Linked DNA regions of Saccharomyces cerevisiae S288C. The protein of the gene in region 3 interacts with the protein of the main gene of each other region in a biochemical or structural test. Each region holds a gene or a part of one and is shown on either strand. Other genes may lie near its edges. The genes, in order: SPO7, YCK1, PAH1 and TPK2.

Region 1 (3,579 bases), on a different chromosome or scaffold from region 3:
AGCCAGAGAATGGAGAAACATGTCTACCGTCAATTCCACCGAATCAAGGTTGACTTGGTTATCTATATTGATTATCATTATCATTGCCGTTATAAGTATTGCCCAAGTTCTACTTATTCAATTCCTCTTCACTGGTCGTCAAAAAAATTACGTTTAAGAACTTTTCAATCTACGAAAAATATATGTCCGCAATATAGAACACAATTAGGTTTATATTCGACGTGATTTTTTTTTCTTCCTTAGCCCTATGTATATTTACTGTATAGGATAAATGAAATACCAAAAATAAAAAAGTATAAAACGAAAGAATATAACCCTCGTTTATATCTGGTCATTTGTCTTGCTCATTTGTTAGCATTTAAACTTGCTAATACGAAACTCAATGTAAAGAATACTTTAAAACCCATGTATTCTGTACCCAATAACCCATCAATAAGCAGTTTCTTCAAGTCTACATCTTTCAAAACAATTACAGATTTGATATTTTTCAAATTAATGCGAATCCATCCCTTGTACCGTAACCATTCACAAAGAAGCATGCTTGTAATACCGACATACATAAACAAAATTGATATCTTAGCCACCGTAACTCCTAAAACAACACCGAATAATGATCCCAAAAACATCTGCTTGTGACTACTTATTTTGTTCCTCCTTTCCTCGGTAATTGCCGTACTGTTGCCCACAGTTGGTTCCAAGGGACCCTGTTGTTTGACAGCTGCCCCTAAAGAATCATTGAATATCAACTTAGAAGGCTGGCGATTCATCAAGTAAAAGCCACCAGCAACTATGCCAGCACCGCCTAACCCTACAGAGCGAGTTAAGGGCTTTCCTAATTTATTGGCGACATTAAACCTCCATAAGGGGACGTTCTTGAACATGCGCTTCCCAACATTCAAATTACGAAACACCAACCGTTGCATATTAAAAGCCAAAGTCATTTTACACCTATTATTTTAAGTTCTTCCTTCTTGCCCCTCTAGCGTTATGCTGTTGTATGTATAATAAGATGCCTTGTTTAACCAATTTCAACAACCCCTAGGTTTTCTAGCACTTGTTGGAAAACTTAAATATGAAATGACGGATTTGTAAAATTTTCACGACACAACAGCTTCACTTCTAATAATGTATAAAATATAATTTATGTGTGAACATAGATGGTTACAATTTTACATAGGTAAATATGACCTCTTATTCGAAGGAAGAAGCCCTCCAACTCTTTCATTCTGATTTAGGTCGGAGTTCGTGCGCTTGTTTGCGTCTTCTAGCACCTTCCCTGGCCCAAAACTCGTCTCTATAAATCTCCCATCCTTCTCTAATCTCTGCACTAAATGCTCTGGGGTTGAGGACTAATTTCACATCCACAGCTCCGATCCTCGGTTGGGATTGTATCGTGACACTTTTCCAAAATTTCACAATGGCATTATCGTCTTTAAGCCACAGAAATTTTTTCAAACAATAAATATTACAATAAGCAATTGTTCGACTCACAAATCTTACTGAATCTGTGTATTTCTCGTCCCACGTAGACTGTACTTTAACTAGCTTCACATTAAACTGCCTAATCCCTTTATTAGTAGAGGTAAAAAATCTTCTTGGAATGACGATAGTTCTTCTATATTGTCCACTGATATGAAAAAGAACTACAGTAATGGAAATGAAAGAAAGAGTGAATTGCAAAATAACCCTATGGAGGCCCTTGACATAATCTGAAGTGAAATAAAGTTCGTAGAAGGTAAATGCGCCTACACCGGCCATAGACGCTAAGAACAAAGTGAATTGCCACTTCAGTATCTTTTGTTCGTGAGCTTGGCGTCTTAAATCATCCTCCAGTATCAACAAATTCCTGAAAATCATCGATGCTGGAGAGATATTACTGGAGTTCCGTATATTCTTCGCACTGGATGTCTTGCTAGTAGAACGCCTGCGAGGCCCGGACACTATACTGGCACTATCATCCTGGGCATGGTTCCCCACATCGCCTATGCTCTCTGGCTCCATGACCTCCTTTATTTAGCTTTCCACTACCTTTCTTCCTTTGTGTGTATAATCAATAGATTTTCGCTAAATTTCGCATCTTCCCTTTTAAGAATAATTAGTATTTAATTTTACTTTGACTTTATTGTTGAGTGAAGAAACAAAGCAAATATACGTTAGGAAAAAGACACGAACAGAGAAGACCGATCTTGATGCTACCCTATATGGACCAAGTACTAAGGGCATTTTATCAGAGCACCCATTGGAGTACGCAAAATAGCTACGAGGATATAACGGCCACATCGAGAACATTATTAGATTTCCGAATTCCCTCAGCAATACACCTGCAAATTTCCAACAAATCTACTCCCAATACATTCAATTCTTTAGATTTTTCTACGAGGTCCAGGATAAATGGTTCTCTGAGTTATTTATACTCCGATGCACAGCAATTGGAGAAATTCATGCGCAACTCTACTGATATCCCATTACAAGATGCCACCGAAACATACAGACAATTGCAACCAAACCTCAATTTCAGTGTTAGTAGTGCGAATACGTTGAGTAGTGACAACACCACAGTCGACAATGACAAGAAATTACTACATGACTCGAAATTTGTTAAAAAATCCCTTTATTATGGTAGAATGTACTACCCCAGCTCTGATTTAGAAGCAATGATAATAAAACGACTAAGTCCACAAACCCAATTTATGCTTAAGGGTGTCAGTAGTTTCAAAGAAAGCTTAAACGTTTTAACGTGCTATTTTCAAAGAGATTCTCACCGCAATTTACAGGAGTGGATATTTTCCACCAGTGATCTATTATGTGGTTATAGAGTATTACACAATTTCCTTACCACGCCTTCCAAGTTTAACACCTCACTGTACAATAATTCTTCGTTGTCGCTTGGTGCTGAATTTTGGTTAGGGTTAGTAAGTTTAAGCCCCGGTTGTTCGACAACTTTAAGATATTACACACATTCTACAAACACAGGACGACCACTAACTTTGACATTATCTTGGAATCCATTATTCGGCCATATATCCTCCACATATTCGGCCAAGACAGGGACAAATTCTACTTTTTGCGCGAAGTATGATTTTAATCTTTATTCGATTGAATCAAATCTTTCATTTGGGTGCGAATTTTGGCAAAAAAAGCATCATTTGCTTGAAACCAATAAAAACAATAATGATAAATTAGAACCAATCTCCGACGAATTGGTTGATATAAATCCAAACAGCAGAGCGACTAAACTACTGCACGAAAATGTACCGGATCTGAATTCAGCTGTTAACGATATTCCTTCTACACTAGATATACCTGTTCACAAACAAAAGCTATTAAATGATTTAACTTATGCATTCTCGTCGTCATTAAGAAAAATCGATGAAGAAAGATCTACCATCGAAAAATTTGATAACAAAATAAATAGTTCCATTTTTACCAGTGTTTGGAAATTAAGCACGTCATTACGTGACAAGACTTTAAAACTATTATGGGAAGGCAAATGGAGGGGATTTTTAATATCTGCCGGGACAGAGCTGGTATTCACTAGAGGCTTTCAAGAAAGTTTATCCGATGATGAAAAGAATGATA
Region 2 (4,604 bases), on a different chromosome or scaffold from region 3:
TGCCTTTATTGTAGAATAAACAATAGCTTGTGAGGTACCACTGGGGGCCCTTGTAGTAATGTCGGCCAAATCCAAGATTTTTTGCAAAAGGAATTTATTAGCAACGATGAAGGATAACCTTAATCCAGGAGCAAAAATTTTAGAAAAAGTCTCCAAACGGATGACACGGGCATCTGTATCCAAAGTCAAGAATGATTTCATTAAAAAATCATTCAAATACCGTTCAGTAGTCAGGTCGCTAGAATGGTAAGGGTTTTCTAATGGCTCTTGCGGATTATAGGAAGGAAAGTACAGATAACCGTAGGGATCATCTTCAACAATGAGGAAATCGTGTCTTTGGGCCAACTGGTAAATTTTCTCTCTTTTCCACTGGGGGACAGACATCCCGGTAGGATTTTGGCCCGTTGCAATGGTATATAGGACCCTTGGCTTGTTTAAGTCTTTGTATGGTCCAGTTGACCAATTATCGAGCAACTGCGTTAGATATTCGACATCAATACCCTGGGACTCTCTGTCGAAGGTCAGGTTCATCTTGATGGGGATGACTTTTGCTCCTGTAGCCTCCACATTGGACATAGCCGGGGTGAAAGTAAACTCTTCAATCATCACAGTGGTCGATTCGTCGCAAATTGTTTCAAAAACCTTAAACATTGAATCGTTGGACCCGCCAGAAAGGATGACATCCCAGTTAGACTCCGTCTCATCGGAAAAGGCTGGGCGATTAATTCTGGACACAAAATCTTTAACAAAATGTAAGAGAGGGGGTAAACCCTTGGTTTCTGCATATTGGAAAGAACGTGCAATGGGTAGCTCACTGGGGGATCCCAAGTCCAAATGCGCCGTGGTAAACGAATTATGCCATTTTGGGTTATCATTAAAAGGAACTTTTGATATTTTCAAATCCATAGATTCGATAGGAAAAAATCTCTCGTTTGGCATTCCACCAGCTAGCTCAATGACGTCATCTGAGATATCAGAAGCATCCCAAAAGCTTTTCAGAGATCTATTTTCTACTCTTCTGGAGAGAAACGGTTGGAAGTTCTTCTTTAAGGAAGTGTAATCAACAGGGGGGGCAGAACCAGCAGTCATTGAGTCGATGAGAGAGTGTAATTGTGGTATGTGTGTATTTTTATGTTTACACTGGGATATTACAAGACCAAATCAAGCTTTTTCCTTTATATATATCAAATATTTATAATGTTTCCTACCCCAATGATGGTTCGGTTATCCGCGGCAAATCTCGGTAAGCATCGGCAATGCTTCCGCGAGTTACCGCTTTTTTTTTTTTATTCCTTTGTTATTATCTACGGCCGTCGGCGGCAATAGTATTTTTGCTCACGTGACCGACAAGGGTCCATTTTATTGCGGTACGGCTCTCTCTTTTTTTTTTTCTCCTCTTCAACTTCTCTCTGATTGCAAACAATATATAACATAACCATGTTCATTACGTACGAAAATATATATACATAAATGCATGGCAGTTATGGCAATTACAACTACAACGCCGTAAAGTTCCAAACGCAGCGGCCTGAGATAGTAAATGATGTACGCACGTGGGCGAAAGTTCATTACTTTGACTGTTGTAACATACCGTATCTCTCTTTTCCCACGTGCTCCGCTCTCTTATCTACCTTGGCGGTACAGCCCTGCGCGGAGTCACTGCAGCCACGTGCCTAGATCTATTACTATGACTTCCCATGGGCACATATACGCCATTAATATACAATATATATAACGTTCATATATGGGTATTTACAGAGAGCCAGGGGCAAATTGGACAGATGTCTCCACGCGGCAAAATGGAAACAGCAGTTTCACAAGGACAACACAAACAACTTAAAGATGGTCACCAGCATAAGGGAAGAAAACTCTCCGAGGAGATCGCTTCTCTATTGAGGCTCAAAGAGTGCAGGAGGCTCAATCCTGCTAGTTACTATACTCCACGTAGAACATCGCAGTCACAATCTCTCAGTGGATCAACTTTTAAAGAGTATAACGAGTACATTAATGAGAAAGATTCAAGTAGAGCGCAGCGTCAAAACGCTGCCGCCGTTTTAAGCAAGCTCGCCCATGACTTTTGGGAGAACGACTGTGTCATTGACGAAGACATATTCGAAGATTCGTCTGACGAAGAACAATCATGATTGCATCTCTTAATCGTTACACATACATACCTTCTACCTCTGTACTGTTACATATGCATTGACTTTACGATCTAATATAAATCCTTTTGATGTTACCCCGCCTGTGGGCTCGTTCTCCTTTCGTTTCTTACGATTTTTTCGCCGGAACAAGAAAAAACAGAACAAAACAAATCAGCGATCGTATACATGGGTCTTTGATTTCTGCTTGCTTCTTACAAACAACAAACGCAAACCGTTCATTGAGTGCTCTGTGACTGGTTTTCATGTGGATGCCATAGTAGAGAAAAGACACATACAAAAATTTCGCGCATTCGCTGGCCCTTTTCCTGCTCTCCTCTTCCCCATGTCCATGCCCATAGCAAGTACCACTCTAGCAGTTAACAACCTCACCAATATAAACGGAAACGCAAATTTTAACGTACAAGCAAACAAACAACTCCACCACCAGGCTGTCGACTCGCCCGCAAGATCTTCGATGACCGCCACGACCGCCGCCAACTCCAACAGCAACTCTTCCAGAGATGACTCTACTATTGTCGGCCTACATTACAAGATCGGCAAAAAAATAGGGGAAGGTTCCTTTGGTGTGCTATTTGAAGGTACTAATATGATCAATGGCGTACCCGTCGCGATCAAATTCGAGCCCAGAAAAACGGAGGCCCCTCAATTAAGAGATGAATATAAAACATATAAAATTCTGAATGGCACTCCCAATATCCCCTACGCGTACTACTTCGGCCAAGAAGGTTTGCACAATATCTTGGTCATTGATCTTTTGGGTCCCTCTTTGGAAGATTTATTTGATTGGTGTGGAAGAAAATTTTCTGTCAAAACGGTTGTGCAAGTTGCTGTCCAAATGATTACTTTGATTGAAGACTTGCACGCACATGACTTGATATACCGTGATATCAAACCAGACAATTTCTTGATTGGAAGGCCCGGCCAACCTGACGCAAACAACATCCATTTGATCGACTTCGGTATGGCCAAACAGTATCGTGATCCGAAAACTAAACAGCACATCCCATATAGAGAGAAAAAATCACTCAGCGGCACTGCCAGATATATGTCCATTAATACTCACCTTGGAAGAGAGCAGTCCAGAAGAGATGATATGGAGGCCTTGGGTCACGTTTTCTTTTATTTCTTGAGAGGCCACTTACCCTGGCAGGGTTTAAAAGCTCCAAACAATAAGCAAAAATACGAAAAGATTGGTGAAAAGAAAAGATCTACTAACGTTTACGATCTAGCTCAAGGCTTACCTGTGCAATTTGGCAGGTATCTAGAAATCGTCAGAAGTCTTTCCTTTGAAGAGTGTCCCGATTATGAAGGCTATAGAAAACTATTACTATCTGTACTGGATGATTTAGGTGAAACCGCGGACGGCCAATATGATTGGATGAAACTGAACGATGGCCGTGGTTGGGATCTTAACATAAACAAGAAGCCAAATCTCCACGGATACGGCCATCCAAATCCACCAAACGAAAAATCGAGAAAACATAGAAACAAACAGCTCCAAATGCAACAGCTCCAAATGCAACAGCTCCAACAACAGCAACAGCAACAGCAATATGCTCAAAAAACTGAGGCAGATATGCGCAATTCTCAATATAAACCAAAGTTAGACCCTACTTCTTATGAAGCTTACCAGCATCAAACCCAGCAGAAATACCTGCAAGAACAACAAAAGAGACAGCAGCAACAAAAACTTCAGGAGCAACAACTTCAAGAGCAACAATTGCAACAGCAGCAACAGCAACAGCAACAGCTACGTGCAACAGGCCAACCTCCATCTCAGCCTCAAGCGCAAACTCAATCTCAGCAGTTTGGCGCTCGTTATCAACCACAACAACAACCTTCTGCTGCTTTAAGAACTCCTGAACAGCACCCAAATGACGATAATTCAAGTCTAGCTGCTTCTCATAAGGGCTTTTTCCAAAAATTAGGTTGTTGCTAAATATAGAAATGACATTTTTTGCAAGACTACCGTCTTTCTTACATTTTTTGTAATGTGAATATATCTGTATACTTTACAACCGAAACGACATTTACCATACTTATAATTTTCGAGTTCTTCGCTGTGGACAAGAGATTAAGTGAGATCAATAACTTCGATAAGAGTATCTCCCGGGAGTACCTCGTCATCATCATCAAGGATTACAACTTCTAAGGAGCTGCTAATATTATCACTTATTATTTGATCTTTGTTATTCTTCGTCTCTCCGCACCAGCGATCATCTCTATATCTCCTTTCGGCTGCAAAAGCCGCCAACTCTCTCGGGGAATTACCTCTATCTATAGATGATATACCCTCTGGATGCAAACTCCCTAACTTCACACCTTTGCCCCTTTTTCTCACTATCCCTGTGTTAGTACTTATTCCTGTCATAGGATATCTATTTGAACGTAAGTTTGCTCTTCCACCGAGACGTTGACCGTTCCCCAAAAATGTGTCGT
Region 3 (5,779 bases):
GGAGACGTTTCGATTGGTTGGATCGTTTAAATTAAAGTTACTTCCGTCACCATTGGGCCTAAAACTCTCCTCTGAAACTGGAAAACTATTTTGAGTTGGTGGAATCACATTTGGTGGGAGATTAGAGAAATGGGAAGGCATATTAGATTTAGAATTAGCTGGCAAAATTGGTATTATTCTCTCTCTTAAAGGATTATGATCCTGTTGGTACCCAGATTCTAGGTCTCCATTGAACAATGATTGAAAAATTTCCCACCATTCCAGTAAAAACGTGTCATTAGCGTCCATCAGCATTTTCGAAGGTAATAGCCCATCTTCACTAACAATGTCACCCTTAGATGCAATATCCATTAATCCCTGCTTCAGGCTGGCGTTCAAGCTAGTTTTCCCACCCGAAGCAGATCCGTTTATTCTAGATAAAGGAAGGTCAGCTTCGCTTAAAAATTTTGCGGCAGAGTTCCAGTAATTGTTTTTGATTAAATAGTTATAAATATGGGCGTACAATAATTGCTTAGAGTTCTTAGCCATTACATCCGAAACGAAAACTCGAGAATCCGCATCAAACTGCAACTGAGTATGGCTATTCAAACCTTTGATATTGGGAGCTGAGCTAAAATCCGTGTTACTAGAGCGCTCATTTGTATTAATATTGGTCGTGTTATCCATATCTTTATCATGCACCTTTTTCTTATTTCACTGCAGTTTAACGAAAAATTGACAAAAGAACCGGGAGATACCAAAGGGAAAAACCAAAAGAGTCACACAGGATTGCAATAGAAATCTTTCTGGTCTTTTCTACTATGGTGATTTTATTATACCCCTCCTCTTCCTGTTATACACGCATTGTATTTCGGCATTGCCTCTTGGCCGCTTTTTTCACCTGACGTAATACCTGTTGCAGCAAGCGAGTTTCGTGTGCGTATAGAAAAGTATTTACCTTGACATTTCGAAGAAGTATGTAATTACCAAATAGCTCAGAAGAACACTTGGTACGTAACAATCATCGTTTACCTTTTTCTTCTATCAAAAAATTTTCTTCTTTTTTTTTTCCTTCTCTTTTCTTAAATAAAATTGAAAAATTGTTACTTAGTACTTCATAATTTTACTTAATATGCAGTATGGATCGTTATAAATAATATTCGGCTACAAGAATCTTTAATCTTCGAATTCATCTTCGTCGAATTCATCGTCATCGAATTCATCGCTTACTCTTGAATCCAAATCTTTATCGTCCATTGAGTTGTGGGGTAGCTGATTGCGCCCTGTTTCATTAACACTTTGCTCCCTTCGTGATTCGGTATCTGAATTCCCAAGTGAATGTACGTCATTTGAAACGTTGATCTTTGAAACAATTCTTGTTGGAGCGCCGGCCTTTGACACAGAGAGCTTTTTGAACTCTTTATCGATACTAGTCGCGGCTGCAGAAGATGCTCTCCTTGATTTAGTTCTATTGTAATTGGAGTCTTCATCATCCATATCGTCTAAATATCTTAGTTTTGGCGATGCAAGTGGAGAACCTAGCTCCAAATATATTTGTTTTCCAATGTCCCCTTTGGACATTGTAGATTTATTGGGCGTGGATCCTGAGCTACTATGGGAACTCACCAGGTCAGACGCATTTTCTACATCAGACGAAGCGGCTAAAACTTCGTTGTTATTTGTGCTGCCGCTCACATTTCTTTGCGGGGCTTTAGTGACCTTGGCGGTTTTGACTGAATTTGCCCTATTTCTACTAATGTTGCTTTGTTGTGATACGTCAGTATCTTCATCGATGTTATCAGAATCATCATTGCTAATATCCGATAAGTTGTCGATGTCGACTAACGGGTCTCTCCAAAAATTTACGTCTGTGAATTTCTCTTCCTGATTGCCTCTAAATAGCGTTTTGCGACCTGAAGTAATTTCTGAGTCAAAGTTATCCAACGTTCTATTAGGGGGGGAGCCAGGAACCATGGAAGTATTAGTTCTTAGATCGACACTATCAAGGCTGACTGGTGGAAAGAAATGATCGACAAGCTCATTGATATGAATATAGGAGCTTCTGTAACCTGCTAACTCCAATAATTCCATATGAACCTCACCCTCTGTATTTATTGTGAAAATTCTTGAACTAGGTATCCCCACAGTTCTGTAAGATAAAGCATCAGTAATCCTATTACCAAAGCCGGCAAAAAATGGTGTTGATTTTTCCTCTGTATCCACTTCGTTATCACTGTCTTCAAAATACAAGGATCTTATGTCGTTTAGACACGCGATTTTAAAGACTTCAGGTTTTTTTAGTATTACTTCCCGCCTTAACGCAGCCATCGTTCTATCGGGTGATAAAATCACAGGCCCATTTGGTAGTTTGCTGCCATTCTGTTCAATTGATCGCAAATAACTCCTCGTGGAATCAGCTTGTCCAGCACTTCTTGCAGTTAGATAGAGTATATTATAGCCATTCCTGGAGATCTCGCTAAATAACTTGGCTACACCCAAGTGCGTCCAGTCTTTTCCTATCATTGCCAGAACATGGCCTAAAGCGTCCGATTTTGTGATGGTGCCATCAATATCACTGATAACAATTGGAACATCCCACCTCCAAACGAATAATTTTGACGTAACAATAGCTTTTCCGTGATCTACGGAAAATTTCAGATCATTTTCACCATAAGTTAAATTTAGGCACTTTAACTGGTCATTAGTCAATCTTATCGTTCGTATGTATCTTTTCTCGGTCTCACCGCTCCCTGCTGTTCCTTTCTTGCTAGTTTTTTCACTTTTACTGCTTTGTTCTTTGCTAAATGATGTTTCGTCCTCAGTATCGGAACCAGAAGGTGAAGAAGATAACGAATTCAAAGTACTTCCTGATTCCATTGCATCTAAGCCTAAAACTGATCCGCTTGTGGCCATTGTTGGAGGCGTACCTGGAGGAGATAAATCAGTAAGGTGCTCGTAAGGATTTACGATCTTGATGTTGCCATTTTTGTCCTCCTTGATAAAACTGGAAATATCTGAATCATTACCGAATTCGTCCTTTAACAACTGCTTCAGTTGTATGTCTGTGTCATGCATCATATTCTTGTTTGGCTTGTAACCTTCAGTGTCTAGTAGTAAGTCGCCATTGTTATCAAGTTTACTGGGTATATGGATTTCAGTGAGTTTTTTGTTTAGTTTTTGCTGAAAGTTCTTTGTACGCTGCTCAACAAGCTTCCTCTCTTCAACTGAATCTGGTGGTGTCGTTGTAGAGGATTCAGTAGGAGAAAGCGACCCTGTAGTTTCACTATTTTTACTGCCTGAATCTCCAGTGTCATTGATATCTAAAAAATCTGGTTCCTCTAGCACTTTCTTTTCCTTCTTCTTATTTTCATTTTCACCTTCACCTTCACCCTCGGTTCCTCCTTCTAAGATGGATGTTTCAGGTGATTGAGGGGGGCTTGATGTGGCGCTCATCACGGGCGACACAAGCAATTCGTCAGGGACATCAGTGACCTGGTCACCCATCTCGAAAACGAAATAGGCTTCTCCAGAATCACTCAGTTTCATTGGCATATTACTCAGTTTCTCATTTATAAACACTTGGACTTTCTTTTGAGATGGCTTTAGAATTTGAAATTTGCCGAACCTCACATGAAAGGGAGAACATGATAGCCTTCCGTCTGGATGCTCCACTACAATGACATCTATAGCACCTGATAGCGTAGCCGGATTGATAGAAGACCATGTTTTAGACACAGACCCAAGAGCTCTGCCTACGTACTGCATAATCGACCGATGTGTCTATCTTCAGTAATTTCTTCCCTGTATGTTTCTTAGAAGGTAAAACTGTGATTACGAAGGTGTAGTGTCCAATTGGTCTGATTAACACTTCTTGAACACGTTTTACTAAATTGTTGAATGTATTTTCTTTATAAACACAAGCCCCCACGATGGCCTACTCTTCACTTGTCCTTGCTCTTCCTTCTACCCTCACCGTGCGCTGCTTTCAACGCTGGCCGGAAAAGCCGAGAAAAAGAGATAGATAATAGAGAAAAGAGAGCCCATTGTCTAAAGGGAGGGAAACCGAAGGACGAAAAGGGCCCGCGACAGACCGTTTAGAGAATGAGCAGCACGTGGGCACTTCGATTTTGTCTCCCAGTGATGTAGTGTTATGATATACAAGATGAGTTTGGACCCTGTTCAAGCAAATCTGTCACATTTGTTAGACTTTTTTTTAAACGAGCCCTCCAAACAAGAACGCTCAGTGTTAGGAACTGCGAACGAAGAGAGAAATGCGTATTAAACTTAGATGAGTATTCTTGCCGTAAATGACTATATACAAAACTTATTCGGAAGAACCTATATCTATGTATGTGAAATGATAAGTACAAGACCCACTGTGATGTGCAGTGATGGCGAATAGGGTGAGGTCCCTTGTACTGTCTTTATTGTAGCCGCTTGTAGGAAAAGTTTTATCACATAAAATTATCCTCTAGAGAGTTAGATGAGCCAGAAATCAGGCTCTTAGTCCGTTGGAAATGCGTTACTTAATCCGCGTAGGGTCATTTGATACAGAAGCAACATTATACTGCTCTGAACACTTGTCCAGACGAATCTAGGGCCAACGCCACTAAAGAAACCTAACACACCTTCAGATTGGTAGACCGTCCGAAGGCTGAGCGAAATCGAGTTGGAAAGTGCTGCCGGTCTGCCGTTTGTTACATGTGGATGTGTTACTGAGTATGATTTGTTGCTTTGGCTGGGCGGCTGTTGAGTTTGGACTCTAGTCTTAACAACATCCATTGGTGTGGTAATGATTCCCGCCAGTCCACCTGCACAGGCACCAGTCAATATTTCATTAGGTATAGACAACTCACCATCCCTACCATCTTTCTGTTCAATCTTGAAAGCCAATTGCCTAAACTTTTCGTAGAAGGCAAACTGCAATGCACTAAATGGCAAATCTCTGGCTAAAGTGGCTTTGTATCCAAAAAATAGTGAGCGAAACCCTTCTTCTTTTATAACTGTCTTTATGGCATTTCTTAAATTCGAATAATTATAGCCAGATTGAAAGAAAGGATTATTGAACCTTCCTTGCAATTGTAGCCTTGTCTTTAGGACCTCTGATGGAACATAAACAAAACTGGAGATAAAATCGCCAAGAAATCCAGCGCTCAAATGTGTGATGGTATCGTTAATCTGCCAATCTTCTATCATTGTTCTCTTAGTATATTCATAGGTCCCAAAGAAGATTGCCGCTGACGGGAAGGAGCCTAACATGGCAGCCATGTAACCGCCGTATAGCCCCCTTCTCACGCCTTCTTCTAGCCAAATGGTACGATATGCAGAGATCATGTTCCTGTATTTTTTGACATTGGGTGCGCCCTGTTGTCTTGTCTTAACAGTATCCAATGAATGCATCGCAGAATCTCCTATTTTTCCACCAATCCCACCGGAGACGACACAATGCCATATAGGGCTTAAGTCCTCATCTGAATCGCCTCTTTTTTTGTGCAGTTTATCATCTTTTCGGTTATTATTTGGTTGATCTGGAGTTCCTTCTGATGTCGGGGGATGGTCATGAGGCGTATGTATTATCGGTATTGAAGAACTCAGGTTCCATGAGTTCATTATCTTTTATACCAGTCGGTTGGAAGTGAAGATTATTATGCGTGCTTCGTTAGAATACTCAGCGTTTGTTTTCGGCTTGCTTTGATGTTTTTTCAAATTAATGAACACAATGTAAGAAGTCGCTATCGTTGTAGGGTCCTAGAGATGTCAAGTTAGAGTTCAATCGCAAGAAAAATAGGAATGTGATACC
Region 4 (4,320 bases), on a different chromosome or scaffold from region 3:
GTTGAAAACGAAGTTGGATGCGGATCTACATGATACCGGATTTTTAGACAATTTCAAAACGCGGAATTCCTGTGTAAAGATAGAGAAAGAAGATTCTTTAACGAACTTAAACGAAATTGATTTTACGAACATGTTTTGCAACGACAATTTCATCCAAAATTACAACCAAGGCCTGATGGAACTTTTGACAGAACCTACACCAGGTCCTTCGTCCTCTTCTTGTATACTTCCTTCAACACCAACGAGGCCCTTGTCACAAAGCAAAATGGATATAGCCCTGTCAGAATCAACAACATCTTCACCAAATTTTATGGAAACAGACGCTCCTTATGGAGATGAGATCATTAAAGTTTCCAAAGATACCAAAAGCAACGCACCAACTGCTGATACAGATATTGCTACGAACTTAGGCAAAGAGAGAAACGAAAATTTTGGCATGTTAAACTACAACTACGAAGCGTTGCTTCATTTCAACGATGAGCATTTTAATGAATTAAATTCTATTGACCCAGCCTTAATATCAAAATATTAATTATTTAGTTTTCAACTCATTAAAACGGTATCACGTTTAAATATGTGACAAGATCTGATGGACATGAATAATGGTGATATCAGCACCATCGAGGGATTTTGGACCTTAGACTTTTTAAAGCTACGGAGGACTTAAAGCATGTCGATACAAATAAGATATATCATGGCTTCATGCGCTCAAAAGTTTTATTCTTCAAGTTTGTTGATTATAATATGGTTCACGTGCGCTTCATCTTTTCATAGGTAATGCACCGCAACATTCAATTATCTAAAAAACTTTCAGGCGTGCCGGTCCCCTAATTTTTGCACTGAGATCATGAGATCAGTAAGTAAAAGCTCATATAGGAAATAATCATATAGAAAAAAGCAGAGGAATGATATTCGAACATTTTCTATACATCACCCCTCCTATTTTTAGATGAATCTCTAAGATCTAAATGCCCTCAACTTAAATATGATATTGAATTAAAATGAATTGTAGTATAGAAGATATTTAGGGCAACGCTTGTTCTTCTCATCTCTTTTTCTTTTTTTACAATATGAACTAGCTTAAAACAGACCACAAATAAGGCATCCGTTAGGTAAAATATAAAGAAAGTGCGCCAGATTTTGGTGGAGGAAAAAAGAGAAAGGAAAAGGAGTGAGAGAAAGTACTTGAAAATTGTTTTTGTGTTTTTTGGTTCATGGAACTTAGAAATCTTGAAAGTATTCAGCATATGGATCATCGCCTTGAATACCATAATCTAGCTGCTCCTCGGGATATTGATCGAATAAAGACGTGTCACCGATACCTGATGTGATAGGAGGCTCGTATGGAGTTTCAATATCCTTTGCTAACAATCTTTCCCATACAACTTCACTAAACCATGGGTGAGCTTTGATGTCCCTGGAACCGCTTTGTAAATTACCGATTCTTCTTGTCAAATCTGCAGTGATCAGTTTGCTTAGTAGATCCACGACGTCGGGATGAAAATATGGTGGATATACTACTTTACCTTGTAAAATCTTTTCATACGTCTTCATTGGAGTAGTATCGTAAAAGGGTGTATAACCAGCTAACATTTCGTAGATTAGAACACCTAGAGACCACCAATCCACCGACTTATTATATGGCTTTGTGGTAATAACTTCAGGAGCAATGTAATCAGGAGTCCCACAAAGCGTCCATGTGACAGTTTGTACCTCTTTGGCGAACCCAAAATCGGTTATTTTAATGTGGCCATTTCTATCCAGCAAGATATTTTCTGGCTTTAAATCCCTGTAGATGATATTATGAGCATGCAAGTACTCTAATGCCAGTATGACTTCCGCAGCGTAAAATTTTGCTACAGGATTAGGAAATCTTTGTGACTTTCTCAGTAACGAGAAAAGTTCACCACCTTCGATATAATCCATCACCATAAAGATATTCCTAGCATCTTGAAACGTACCCCACATTCTAATCAGAAACGGATGCTCCACAAGCTTTAGCATACGTCGTTCGTCATTGGTATGTTCAACCTGTTTCATCTTGACAACTTGTTGTTTCTTTAAAACTTTTATAGCATAATACCGACCATTGTGAACAGAGCGCACCAAATGAACCCTACCAAAAGATCCAGTACCAAGCGTTCTCATAATCTGGAAGTCATGTAGTGTATATTTGCCTTTGGATACGAGAGATTTCTGGGGCAACTGAGACGTCAGCAGTTGTTGATGCTGACGCTGCTGTTGTTGTTGTTGTCGCTGCTGTAAATCATGATGCGGTTGTAGGACGCCTTGCCCGTAAGTATTAACATTTTGCTGCTGGATTGTTTGACCAACTGGCTGAGCCCTTTCTGCAACGAATTCCATACCGACAATTTTCAACAGTATGTGAGTTAACCTGAGTGAAGCTGCTGTTTGTGCCGGCTGTATATTTGCACAAACTTCCTTGGTATTCCGTCGTTATCGTCTCGTGATTGTTTCCTAATCAGACACTATAAGGCAAGTTAATTATCGAAAATACGAATTGATGCTGTCTTCTCAGAGGCCCTCCTTTAAAACCGTCCAATATTCGTGATTGATCTTCGATCGTTAGCCCTTTATTACATAAAAAAAAAACAAATTGGCCAAGAGGTGCTCCGCTCCCCCTTAATTTCCTTCCCGAAGAAAAAAATGCATAAAAAAAGTGGTTCTTTTAGCTATCATCTTTTTAGGTAAGAAGGCCAGAATTGTATATATTAACTCGATATGGAATTGTGTGTACGTATATGTAAATAATAATAATAATATATATATATATATGTGTGTGTGTATGTCTATATATACATATGTTTATTTTTGTGCGTTTTGAGCAATATATGTTGCTTACAACCAAATTGACTGGCCAGCTGGTTTATCTTGAGGCGGCTGTTGTGGATTAGATCTCATTTGTGGAGGTACAGATGCTTGATTAGTATTAAAATTATTGCTGTTTATTTGTGGGGGATACTGAGTAGCCCTGGTTGTAGCCATCGGAACTTGCTGCTGTTGCTCCTGAGAATCTCTTTGTTGCTGCTGTAGTAACGGTTCAGGATAATAATTTGGTCTTTGGCCATTTGGTTGCTGCTGTAGCTGTTGGGGCTGTGGTTGTGGCTGCGAACTTTGGACCTGCTGCTGCGGCTGCTGTTGTCTCAAGTTTTCCATACCTTTATCTAGTGCGTTCAATAATTCCTCTGGTAAAGAAGAGGCTGCATTATTATTCAAGATAGTTTGTTGTTTGATCTCTTCTGGTGAAGGATTATGTTTGTCTTCATTCTTGTAATAGTGGAAATGGGTGGGGAATTTCTTCATGGCTAACAGTTTAATCTTGTTGAAAGTTTCAGACTTGTTGTCTGTGCTGTTACTTGCACTTGCTGCATTGCTATTTGCGTTCAAATCACCTTTTTCGATGAGGAGGTCCCTTTGCTTCTCCACCATCGCCTTTGTGTAACGCAACATTGTCCAATCGAACAAGTGGTCGTTGTGATACTCTAGTTTAATACTCAGATCTTTAAACAGCCTTGCCAAGAACAAATAATCTGGCTTCTCATCGAATTTCAAATTCTTACAGTAAGCCATATATTCTTGAAACTCTAATGGTAAACCTGAACATAGAGTTTCCACGCTAACGTTTAATTTCTTTTCCATGATACGATCATACTTTTGTTTCTTGGTGGTTGCTTTCAAACCCTGCCATGGCAAAGAACCCTTACAAAAATAGATCAAGACATAACCTAGTGATTCTAAGTCATCTCTTCTACTTTGCTCTATTCCAAGATGCGTATTGACACTTGCATAACGAGCTGTACCTGTCAAGGACTTGTTCTCCCTGTAAGGAATATGACGATGTGTGTTGAAATCTCGGTATTTCTTTGATAGACCGAAATCAATAACATGAACGGTGCTACCACGGCGTCCTACCCCCATTAAAAAGTTGTCTGGTTTGATATCTCTATGAATGAACGACCTTCCATGTATATACTGAATACGGCAAAACATTTGCAAAGCCAGCATGATAACCGTCTTAAAGGAGAACCTTCTGTGACAGTAGTTGAATAAATCTTCCAAAGATGGGCCTAGAAGATCGATGACCATAGCATTATATTCACCCTCTCTGCCAAACCATCTGATGAACGGGATTCCCACACCACCGCTTAAGTATCTGTAGACGCGGGACTCATAGTCCAATTGAGGATGTCTGGACCTGATCGATTCCAGCTTGATGGCTACTTCTTCACCACTAATTAAGTTCGTGCCGTGGTAAATGTCACCAAAGGAACCACTCCCAATCTTCCTGCCAATACGAAA

Evidence for each region.
Region 1: of the proteins of PAH1 (region 3) and SPO7, one has a biochemical effect on the other in vitro, tested with the Saccharomyces cerevisiae proteins (2 studies listed by BioGRID, with this or other methods).
Region 2: of the proteins of PAH1 (region 3) and YCK1, one has a biochemical effect on the other in vitro, tested with the Saccharomyces cerevisiae proteins (2 studies listed by BioGRID).
Region 4: of the proteins of PAH1 (region 3) and TPK2, one has a biochemical effect on the other in vitro, tested with the Saccharomyces cerevisiae proteins (one study listed by BioGRID).

The regions. Positions count from the first base shown.
Region 1 is NC_001133.9:134,276-137,854, reverse strand, and holds SPO7 (Nem1-Spo7 phosphatase regulatory subunit SPO7), read right to left. Parts: upstream 2,002-3,579; coding exon 1,222-2,001; downstream 1-1,221. Other genes in the region: ERP2 (Erp2p), read left to right, coding at 1-157; FUN14 (Fun14p), read right to left, coding at 345-941; MDM10 (Mdm10p), read left to right, coding at 2,190-3,579. UniProt on the Saccharomyces cerevisiae protein: Regulatory component of the NEM1-SPO7 complex which acts as a phosphatase and dephosphorylates the phosphatidic acid phosphohydrolase PAH1. Essential for the formation of a spherical nucleus and meiotic division.
Region 2 is NC_001140.6:372,194-376,797, reverse strand, and holds YCK1 (serine/threonine protein kinase YCK1), read left to right. Parts: upstream 1-2,487; coding exon 2,488-4,104; downstream 4,105-4,604. Other genes in the region: ARO9 (aromatic-amino-acid:2-oxoglutarate transaminase), read right to left, coding at 1-1,089; SPL2 (Spl2p), read left to right, coding at 1,698-2,144; metalloendopeptidase WSS1, read right to left, coding at 4,240-4,604. UniProt on the Saccharomyces cerevisiae protein: Casein kinases are operationally defined by their preferential utilization of acidic proteins such as caseins as substrates.
Region 3 is NC_001145.3:588,885-594,663, forward strand, and holds PAH1 (phosphatidate phosphatase PAH1), read right to left. Parts: upstream 3,745-5,779; coding exon 1,156-3,744; downstream 1-1,155. Other genes in the region: MSS11 (Mss11p), read right to left, coding at 1-666; MME1 (Mme1p), read right to left, coding at 4,483-5,589. UniProt on the Saccharomyces cerevisiae protein: Mg(2+)-dependent phosphatidate (PA) phosphatase which catalyzes the dephosphorylation of PA to yield diacylglycerol. Required for de novo lipid synthesis and formation of lipid droplets.
Region 4 is NC_001148.4:164,300-168,619, reverse strand, and holds TPK2 (cAMP-dependent protein kinase catalytic subunit TPK2), read right to left. Parts: upstream 2,365-4,320; coding exon 1,222-2,364; downstream 1-1,221. Other genes in the region: AFT2 (Aft2p), read left to right, coding at 1-532; serine/threonine protein kinase HRR25, read right to left, coding at 2,860-4,320.